2 linked regions of the Schizosaccharomyces pombe genome follow. The protein of the gene in region 1 purifies or fractionates together with the protein of each later gene. This does not show direct contact. Each region holds a gene or a part of one and is shown in the gene's direction. Other genes may lie near its edges.

The links.
Region 2: the proteins of rho5 (region 1) and rgf1 purify together in Schizosaccharomyces pombe (affinity purification with western blotting, with the first as the bait; one study listed by BioGRID). This does not show direct contact.

Annotation. Positions count from the first base shown.
Region 1 is NC_003424.3:2,130,894-2,134,979, reverse strand, and holds rho5 (Rho family GTPase Rho5), read left to right. Parts: upstream 1-1,928; 5' UTR 1,929-2,364; coding exon 2,365-2,435; intron 2,436-2,553; coding exon 2,554-3,085; 3' UTR 3,086-3,295; downstream 3,296-4,086. Other genes in the region: family protein ICE2, read right to left, coding at 1-406, 492-604, 645-830, 884-1,198, 1,278-1,541; ufd2 (ubiquitin-protein ligase E4), read right to left, coding at 3,357-3,430, 3,471-4,086.
Region 2 is NC_003421.2:1,243,015-1,249,970, forward strand, and holds rgf1 (RhoGEF family guanine nucleotide exchange factor Rgf1), read left to right. Parts: upstream 1-2,171; 5' UTR 2,172-2,248; coding exon 2,249-4,930; intron 4,931-4,976; coding exon 4,977-6,299; 3' UTR 6,300-6,456; downstream 6,457-6,956. Other genes in the region: RhoGEF for Rho1, Rgf3, read right to left, coding at 1-198; tudor domain and nuclease, Snd1, read right to left, coding at 6,543-6,956. UniProt on the Schizosaccharomyces pombe protein: Stimulates the exchange of Rho1 and Rho5 GDP-bound form into GTP-bound form. Controls septum formation, cell wall synthesis and localization of F-actin patches. Coordinates actin deposition with cell wall biosynthesis during bipolar growth.

The DNA of each region.
Region 1 (4,086 bases):
AGACTCTTTGCTATAAGCTAGTTCAATGGCGTATAAGAGGAGAGTTAAAATAGCACTTACCCAACGCCAAATTTCAGCGGAACACAATATTTGATTCACTGGAGAAGTGAAAGAGGGTGTTGGGTATAAGTGCTGTAATAGAAGGTTTGTATAGACTGCAATAAGTATACATGGAGAAAGAATACTCCACATACCCTGTTTAGAAGTTCGACTGTACTCGAGAAAGATGATGTTATTTTGTATTGCAGGTAAAATTCTTGTTACGGCATACATAACTGATATGCGAAAAGCAAATGTAGCGAAAACACTCGGCGCTACGGTCTTAGCAGCCGCTACCATAAAAAGTACAATATTATAAAGCGTCCTTGGTAAAGTAGCAGATATAGTGGAGATTAGATAGTGAACACTGTTAAAAAATGTTAAAATTCGACTGCTCGAAAAAAAAGCAAGAAATTGGTAATAGTGAATAAGTAAAACATGTTGGAACTTACCTTTGAAGTATATTAGGAGGAAGATAATCAAACTTTGGTTTCTCAAGAGAACTAGTGTTTGGATTGCCAAAATCAGTACAAACCATATATACGGTGTATGCAATATACAAAAACTAAATATGTTAAAATCAGAAATAAGGAAATAACAATTACCATTAGCGATGCTTCAGATAAATTTGCACGTCCAGAAGCAACACCATAAATAGAAATTACAATCACAGTTGCAAGGGAAAATCCGATCATTAATGCATTAGGATTGGAGATAGAAAAAGAAGATACACGATAGAGGAGATAGAGGCTCATTGATATGGCACTACTAGCATTAAGCAAAATAAAGAACTGCGTTTAAGTTAACAAACGTAGGCATAAATAAAAGTATAAAATATACGTACCATCCAGTTTTCGGACTTATTATGGACCAACCAACGGCTTAGATGGCCAAGAGCTTGTACAACTAAAAGCGACGCCATTCCTTCTAGCAAATTAAATAGGGGAGTAAAGTGTAGTAGAGCAGTGTTCCAAGCAGAAGCAAGAAAAGAGGCATATTTATTCTGCTCTATGCTTGGTGATGCATTAAGGGCTATTATTAATAGAATAAAAACTAAAAGAGGTTCAAAGAAATGTAATGTTAAAGCAATTTTTCGAAGCCCAAACAGCTTCAACAAAGCAGTAGAGAAAAAGTATACTTCTAGTGCAAGTGTAAGTATCTATTTTAAATTTATGTTAGTTTATTTTTTAAGAAAGAGAAAGAAAGAAATGTTGAAATAACTTCATTCCTAAACTTACCAAACCGCAAAACCGACCGCCAATCTCAAAGGCGATTCCTACTAAAACTATTATGACTAAAAAAAACCCCAGGGAAAGGAAATTCCCAAACATTGCTAGCATGTTGCGGAAATGTGTTGATATATTTGCTTTAGGTTTTCCCTGAATCTCTGGTGCTTCATCATCAATAATTTCCAATATAGAATCATCCATTGCTTCAAAACTCGTGTCCTCCACTGTCGAAACCGAAATATCATAATTATTCGACCTAATTTCCTGGTCCATTGCCAAAAATTATTAAAAATTGGTCAAATTCGTAAATGCAAGACGTTGATTTTTCAATTTTTGTACAATTACTATCTTTTTAACACAGTAGAACCCAAACTGAAAACTACTTCACTCTATTTTTTCTTCTATAATTTTAAATCCTTCACAGGTAAACTATAAACACTAATTTTTACATTCAGTGCTGTTTTAATCGTTCATGAAGTAGCACTGATCCCGTAGCTAAGGAGTTTTGCTAAATAATTTTATATGAATTTTGAACGGCTGAGGCAATGAAACTTATCAAGCTTCTTTCATATTCCTTATTAATCGTTAATAGATATACGACAATATAACGCAATACGTGGTTTGTATGTATCTTGGAAGAGGGGGAGCATGCTCGTAACCACACCAAAGCCTATTGTTTACGTTTTAAAATTCGAAAGTATACTAGCAATTTACTATAAAATATTGTATAGATAAAAGCCAAAGGATTTTTTAAACATAATAAAAAGCTATAACTACTATCTTTTCCATCAGGTCGGTTTTACTGGGCTGCTCCACTTGTGTGTTTGCATAAATTTATAAAAGGAAAGTTGAAATTTAGTTCAATTGAATAGATTTTAACAATTCTTTTTACAATTAAATTACTCTAAGACGCCGCTTATATTTTCTTTTTGCTTTGCCCCCTATTTATTCGTTGCTTGAGTTATCAGTCGCCTTATATTTACATTGGTAGTTGAGATCGATTTTTTCAAAGCGGGCAATTCCTTGCGTTCACGAACCAATTATTGATATACTTGCAACAATTTTTTATTTTAAAAGAAATTTTTTATTCGACATTATGACTACTGAGCTCCGTCGTAAATTGGTTATTGTTGGCGATGGTGCTTGTGGTAAAACATGCTTGTTGATGTACGTTTGCCCTTTTAGAAATTCTATTCATTGTTATCGAGCTTTTCAAATGTGAATTTGATTTATCTAAACAACAATTGTGTTTTTAAAGCGATTAATCTACTAACAATTATTTTAGTGTTTTTTCCAAAGGAACTTTTCCTGAAGTTTACGTCCCTACTGTTTTCGAAAATTATGTTGCCGATGTCGAGGTTGATGGAAGGCATATTGAATTGGCACTATGGGATACAGCTGGTCAGGAGGATTACGATCGTTTACGCCCTCTTTCCTATCCAGACTCTCACGTCGTTTTGATTTGTTTTTCAGTTGATGCTCCAGAGAGTTTGGACAATGTTCAAGAAAAATGGATTTCTGAAGTTCTTCACTTCTGCTCCAATTTACCCATTTTGCTAGTTGGGTGTAAAGTGGATTTACGAAACGATCCAAAAACAATCGAAGAGCTCTCCAAAACCTCACAGAAGCCTATCACATTTGAAGAAGGACAGGTAGTAGCTCAAAAGATTGGCGCCTATAAGTATCTCGAATGTTCAGCGAAATTGAACGAAGGGGTCAATGAGGTTTTTGAGACTGCAGCTCGTGCTTCCATGCTTAAATTTAAGCCTGCTAGTGTACCGAAGACAAAAAAGAAGAAGCACTGTATCTTACTCTGATGAAATGCAATCTCTGTTATGGTGTATAAGAGCGTTCTATTAATTACATTCTGTATTGTTAGATTCACTATATTCATTTATCCTCTTGTGCAAAGGAATTATTTTACGAGCTTAACCTTTGTGGTACCGTACACCAAGTTTTTTATCCTTCGAATCATTACCTAATGAGTTTCCATGAATGTTTAAATATTTCATAGTAATTAATTGTCTAATCTTTTATTTAAACTTATCGAAGCCTTTCATTAAAAAACTAGTATAAACACAGTTATATTCATTCACTATTTCGCGAATGTTTGTTGCGTTTTGATTTCAGGAACGTGTTAATTTCCTCACGTAATGTATCATCTAAAGAATTAGTAACTAACAGTGGAAAAAAAAAACTTACTCGGTGTCACATCATCAAGCGTTAATGGAGTTCGATTAAATGGGTCGGTGGCATCACTTAGTAGATGTGCTTTAATAGTAGACCTATCAATCGAAATGCCAGATCTCGGTAAAACAACAGGATCTTTCATTATTGTAAACATAAGAGGATCTAAGAAGTAGTCAGGAATATCACCCATGTCTTCCTCTTCAGTAGCCTCTTGCAATCTGAATGCCTCTACCCTATTCACAAATTCTTTAATAGCTTCTATATCAAAAGATGACTTGAGGTTGTGCTTAGTCATAATGCTAGTCGCACGTTCAAATATTTCTTTACTATAAGAACGGCCATCGTGAGCAACAGCTTCGACAAATGCAGGTTCATTGCACAGGTTAAGATAAACATCGAAAATAATCGACAAAAGGGTTTTTGCATTAAAATGATATTTCGTTGGGTCCTCTACCTTGAGGTTACTACACTTAGGGCCACATAAAGCTTGAAGGTTATAGTTTAGCATAGCTGCCAACCGATCTACAATTTCAACGGCACAAAAGGCTTTAGGAATTGAGGAAGTGAACAATTTGAGCATAAAAATAGTTTCATTCCCTAACTGGCAATAAGTAGAAGCTTGACGTTC
Region 2 (6,956 bases), on another chromosome or scaffold:
ATTATTCGAACGTTTAGAAAGAAAAGGAGGAGAAAAGAGTCTGGTGGTAGAAAAGTCGGAAAACGATAGACGTTTCTGAAAAGATGGTGGAGAAGAGGAATGAGGAGGATAAGTGTCCTCTGAAGAGTCTAAACAAATTCGGCTCTTTCCACCATGGTCTTTCGAGCTCCGATGAAAAAGTTCATTGGAGAGCTTCATAAAAGAAAAAGTGGTAGGGGGAACCACAATCACCAAAAATGACTAGGTCAAAAAAGAACTACAATAATATTTGAAGAATCAAGGCAAGCTAAGGCCAAATAGGAGTCAATTTCAATTGCAATCCAAGAAAGAGAAAGGTCAAAACTAAATGTTGCAGGATGGACAGTGCAACAAAAGAGAAAAGAGAGGTGAAAAAAGATAGAAAAAGGAATTGAGAAAGAAGAGTATAAAAAAAAAGAAAGAAATGCGAAGAGAAATTAATAAATGGAATAAAATAAGGGAAAATAAATTAAAATAGAACAAATTCAGTGTCAATGGAATTCAAAAAATGCAAACCAATCTCGTACGCCCTCAAAAAAAGCAATTTTATAGTAAGCCGGAATGAAAACGATTGATGCTTTCAAAGTTATGCGATGAACCAGAGAAACTCCCGTCCTCTATTAATAAAAGACTTTGACATAAAATTACGAATACAGAAAGAAAGAAAAAAAGAAAGAAAGAATTGTATCGCAATATCAATGCAACAGTCTGTTTATTCGGTTTGTGATGCCACAATAAAAGGGTTAGGGCGGAAGGAATAATATAGGATGATCTGATTGAAACAACCCAAAAAGGAAAGAAAGCTCCCAAGCGTTTCAGAGGAATCAAGTTTCGTAGGTTTATAGACAGAGAAAGAGAGAAAGCAAAAGCAGTATATTATGAAAGGTAATGACTTGATCAAAAAAACAACCTCTTCTAATGAAACGTTTGGGATAAATCAAAATCGATGCCTAAGAAAAGATTATAGGACTTTATGGTTTTTAAATATATGTGTAAATGTTAAATAACTTATAACCCACCACCAAGGGATCTTCGTGGACGGCGAGCGGAGTGGATAAGAAAATGGCTGGTTGTATGTTCGCGACGGAAGAACAAAATTGGTCTTTGACTAGCAAATTTTCCAAATTTAGATTACATGATTTAAACGATAAATAGGGCAAATAAAGTGTACAAAAAGATATTTGATCAATTTATATGATGTTGAGCACAAGCTGAATAGTAAACAATGCGAACGCAATTAAAATAAAATAAGTCAATACAGCATAGTCATAGAAATCGATCAATTGAGGTTATCCGGATTAAAGCTAATTATTTTAGATGATGTTTTTCATATTTGTAAATCGGTAATACAATTATGAGCTGGTCGGACAGAAAAAGTGAGCACATAAATTGCAGCAAGTAGAAAAGCAATAGGCAATATAAAGTAAAGGAGTTCATTCATGACTTCCCTTTTTATATAAGCGTTTTTTTTTTTAGTGGAAAGTCGACCAGGATGCAGTTGAATGTTGATATTAACTTTGTTAGGACTAGTGAAAATTCAGATTTGTACTTTTTTTTTAAGGAGTTCAAGACTTTTTTACTACATATTCAACATTGAAATCACCTTATCTATAGAAGAAGTAGATAAACTTAGCCCAAAACAGCATACTGATGACTTATAGCTTCTCATCCCTTCATAATATTAATGCGGTTTACTGCTGCTGTAACAATTCTTCTGATATATTAAGTATACGTATTTTTCCCTTCGAGGATAATCTTTTCTTAATATACCTGTTGCTCTCTCAAATTGCTAAGCAGACAAGTAAACAAATCAATTGTTTCATTGAACGAACCAGGACGGCTATATAAACTTATTATTATAATTTAAATCAAATTTTAAACATTCAACTCTGGAAACACTAACAAAAGCCTTTTTTTATGTCGCCTTTTAGCATGTGTTTCGAGTGGAAACCCTCCATGCAAAAGAAATTGAAGGTGAAAGCAATATACTAAAGCAAAACATTAATTCATCAAGCAATACGCAATTTACATATTAATGGTCTTTGATTTAGAAAATCGTATAAATTAGAATTTTTCATCATCTTACCGTTATAACGAGTTCGTAGCTACTTTCGCAGAAAGTTTGTGGTCAAATTATCTTGTCTTTTTCTCCACCACCAAACCCTCGTTTTCACGGGAAACATTCAGCATTGTCGATTCGATCGTCAAACTGATTGTTTTTATAGTAGCAATGGATTACCGGCATCCAAATGCACTCGGTGTGAATGAGAGCTCGCGTGCTTATGAGGAAATTTTTGGTGCTCCAAGAAAACGGGAGCCGGCGAGAACTGTAAGTACTCCTGCGTTCATGGAACCGGCTCCAGTCTCAAAAAAACCTCTTCCTCCTCCCACGCGAAGGCTTCCTCGGAAACCTTTGCCCTTTCGTTCCACGAGTTTGCAGCCTCCATCGTCTCAACCTCCTGCACCTCCAACTCATCAGAGAGAAGCATCTCCTGTGAAAAATATTGAGCACAGTGAATCTTTTCCTTCCGTTTTTGGTACTTCAAATAATCACCAGATCGTCCCATTGACTCTTAAAGACGGAAATGATTTTGGTGCTCTATATGCATCTTTAAACACCACACCCCATTTTCCTCAGGTATCGAATCATGCGCCCAATAACTCTAATTCCCCTTCTTTGACTTGGCACACATCATCCGGTGATGATTCCAACCAAAATCCTTTTTTCGTTCGGCGTCAGTCTCAGAGTAGCACGTCTCCGGTTTCGGATTCAGTAGATGAGAACCTCCTTTCAGCAGTCTCTTCTGTTACAGAGTCCGTAGAAACAAACCTTCATCTCGATCAAAATTATCCTTACGGCTCTCCTGTTCGTTCGTCTAAAAATCCCTTTCTCTCTTCAAATTCTCGATTACCAACTGATGATTCTTCTCACACTGTTGGTTCTCATTCATTTACTTCAGGAACTCACCCACCCATTGTTTCTTCTAATTCCGCCTTTACACTTCCCAATGCTGTTACTCCTGCAGCTCAAGCACCTCTCATACGTAGTGTTAGTGAATATCCTGCTAACGTTTCTCCACCTGCCCAGTCCCTTCAGCTACCAAAATCTACTAGCAATCCCGCGGATCTTCATTTAAGCATAGCTTCTGCTAGCAGCCATAAGAATATTTTTTCTGGGTTGGACGTCTTTTCTAATGTCTTTCATGGTCCCTCTACCACATTACGAGACAGAGAACATGATATGCGAAATCGCTCATTTGATCATTCTACCTTGGCTCATTATGAAGCAGTTAAGCAGCAGAGACTTGGTGTTGAACCTACTGCAAGGTCCTTTACGTTGAGCTCTTATAAGTCCCGTGCAAGTGGAAATTCCCTAATTAATGATCGAAGCTCTACAACAACGCCGACGTTTGTTAATTCGGAAGCTAGCTCGCCTGTTCATAAAAATAAACGAAGACGCAGAATATATGCTGCCTTACTTTCTCGTGTTGCCAGCGAATTGTTAGATAGACTACAGCTAGGTGATATCACGAAAGACGGTTTAATTTATTCTAATGCCTTTACTGGCGATCATGCAGTCACCGTGCTAATGGGTATTATACATACTTCTGATAGAAATCTCGCTTTACTTGTCGGACGCTCTTTAGATGCACAAAAATTTATTCATGATGTTACCTATGATCATCGTCTTCGTGATTCTCATCGTGAAATATATCAGCTTCAAGGTACTGGTTATCGCCCCTTCTTACGCGCAAATGATAATGCATCCATTAACAACAAAAACCATCATAAGGAATTGGAGGACAATGAGTCGGGCACTCGAATCTCACCGTCCACGTTAGGTGACACTTCTTTTCCAAATGGTATATTTACTTTATTGACGCATTGTTACTCTCCAACATGTGCAAAAGATCATCCCTGCTATTCTATTTCATGTCCTCGACGATTGGAACAGCAGCACAGACTATTTGCCAAAATGCGTGCAAACACTGAACAGTCTTCCTCCCTAGCGTTTGATGATAAGGAACAAAAATTGTGGATTCACAGCGTACCCCAGGAGATTGCTTATAGTGTCAGTGACCGGGAAAGAAAGCGTCAAGAAGTAATTTGTGAGGTTATCTATACTGAGCGAGATTTTGTTAAGGATTTGGAATATCTTCGGGATTATTGGATTAAACCACTATGGGCTTCATCTTGTATACCTGAACGAAAAAAAGAAAAATTTATTCGTACTGTGTTTTTAAATGCTTTAGAGGTTCAAGCAGTTAATTCTAAATTGGCTGAAGCTCTTACTAAAAGACAAAACTATAAACCCATTGTGGATAATATTGCGGATATATTTTTGGAGCACGTTCCAAAATTTGAGCCTTTCATACGATATGGTGCAGGCCAACTCTACGGAAAATACGAGTTTGAGAAGGAAAAGTCATCTAATCCTGCATTTGCTAAGTTTGTCAGTGACGTTGAACGTCTGAAAGAATCACGAAAGCTAGAGCTAAACGGCTATCTGACTAAACCAACTACCAGATTGGCTCGTTATCCATTACTTCTAGAAGCGGTATTAAAATATACTGATGAGGGTAACCCTGATAAACAAGACATTCCGAAGGTCATTAATATCGTTAGAGGATTTCTCTCACGTCTTAATGTTGAAAGCGGAAAAGCAGAAAATAAGTTTAACTTGTTTCATTTGAATCAACAGCTGGTCTTTAAACCTGGAGAACATTATGATTTACATCTGCTTGATGCGAACAGACAATTAATATTCAAAGGACCCTTGAAGAAAAGAAGTGCTGGTTCCACTTCTTCAGAGTCTGCGTCGGATGTTACTTTGTTTCTCTTTGACCATGCTTTGTTGATAGTAAAACCAAAGACTATTAATAAACGTGAATTATTGAAAGTTTTTCAAAGAGTATGTTTTTTCTATTCATTTAAATTGTTTTTTCTAACTAGTATAGCCTATTCCTCTATTACTTCTTCAACTATTCCTTGTTGATGATAATGGATTAAGAATCCCTTATTCAAGTAAGCAACAACTAGCAGCTGTATCAAAAGCAGCGAATGGGAAGCCACCTTCTAGATTTTATCCATTTAGCTTACAACTTTTGGGTCGTAGAGGGTACGAAATCACTCTTTATGCAACCACTGAAGTTAGTAGGGATAAGTGGTTAGAGCATATTGACAACCAACAAACATTGCTACAACATCGTAACCAGTGGTTTGAGTCTGTTACCATTTGCTCTAATTTCTTTGTTGGTGATAATAAAGTAAATGCGATAGGCGTTTATGATAGTGGTCGTCGACTTTTATATGGGACTGACACAGGTGTGTACGTCTCTCTTCGAAAAGCAAACAGCCCACTTCAATTCAAGCCTGTACGTGCGTTAAATATTCCCAACATTTCACAGCTTGAGGTTATTGAAGAGTATAGTTTATTGCTACTGCTTTCCGATAAGGTGTTATATTCGTATCCTTTGGAAATGATTGATGCGGATACTACTCAAGCCCCTAAAAAAGCAAGGAAAGTTTCTGGTCATACAACTTTCTTTCGCGTAGGAATTTGTCTGGGTAAAGTTCTTGTGTGTGCTGTCAAAAGTTCCGTCTTGAGTGCTACTATAAAGGTTTTTGAACCAGTCACTAATTACTCTAAAACACGGAACATGCCAAGCTTGAAAAAATTCCTTACTGTTAACCAAGACCCATTGAGGATTGTCAAAGAGCTTTATATACCCACGGAATCAACTTCGGTTCACTTCCTGAAGAATAAACTCTGTGTCGGATGTACGAGAGGTTTTGAGGTGGTCAGTCTCGATAACCTAGAGACGCAGTCTCTACTGGATCCAGCCGATACGTCTCTTGAATTTGTGGAGAAGAAAGAAAATGTTAAACCTATCGCTATCTATCGTATGAATGGCGGTGAATTTCTTTTATGCTATTCCCAATTTGCTTTTTACGTAAATCGAGATGGATGGCGTTCTCGTCCTACATGGTTTGTTGTTTGGGAAGGAAGTCCTCAAAACTTTGCCTTAAGTTATCCTTATATATTGGCTTTTGAACCCACTTTTATTGAAATCAGACATGTTGAAACCTCTGAATTGATCCATGTCATTTCCGGCAGAAACATCCGTTTGCTTGCTGATGGAAGAGGAAAGTTAGGGGACGGTGGTGAAATATTTTATGCGTGCGATCAACGTGGTGAAAATTGTGAGACAAGTGTTGTTTGTTCCCTTCGATTGACGAGTGCTGCTGCCCACGCCAAAGAGCAGCATGTAGACAAGTAATTTTGGTTTTTTTGAACTTAATTTTCACGTTTTATTTATAACGGTTAATTGGATATTGGTTTGTTCGGTTATCTTTTCTTTTCTTTTTTAAAAAAATAATTTAGGTGCATGAATTTTAATGATAAATAAGATTTTTTTAAAATATATACGTTAACAATATTTTAAAGTGAATAACTAGATATATTGTAGGCAAAAAGTACTAGCGAATATGATCAATGTTACTATACTAGAAGTAAAATATTTTTAGTCCTCATATTCTAGGGGATCACCATATACCCAGAAACCGATATGATTTAGACGTGCTTCTTGCTGATGCTCTTCTAGAATATTGAGGGATGCGGTATCTTTTTCAAAGTGAGATGTTTTTTTCTTGGGAATAACACTAGCCATGCCGAGCGCAACCAGTTGGGCATTAATACAGTCAGAAAAATCTGAACCATCACTAGGATTATACAAAGTTACAGAATACACGTTTCCTTCGTGTCCATCGACTTTAGCCACTAGACCTTTATTCATGGCTAGCTCCCTGAAAACGAGTCTTGCGTCTTCATAGTAATCAGAGCTGGGAGGAGGTAATTGAACGTAACTGAGACGAGCAAGTTGCGCTTGAGGCTTCAATTTAGTATAGGTATCTGGTAAAGAGGATATGTTTTTGAA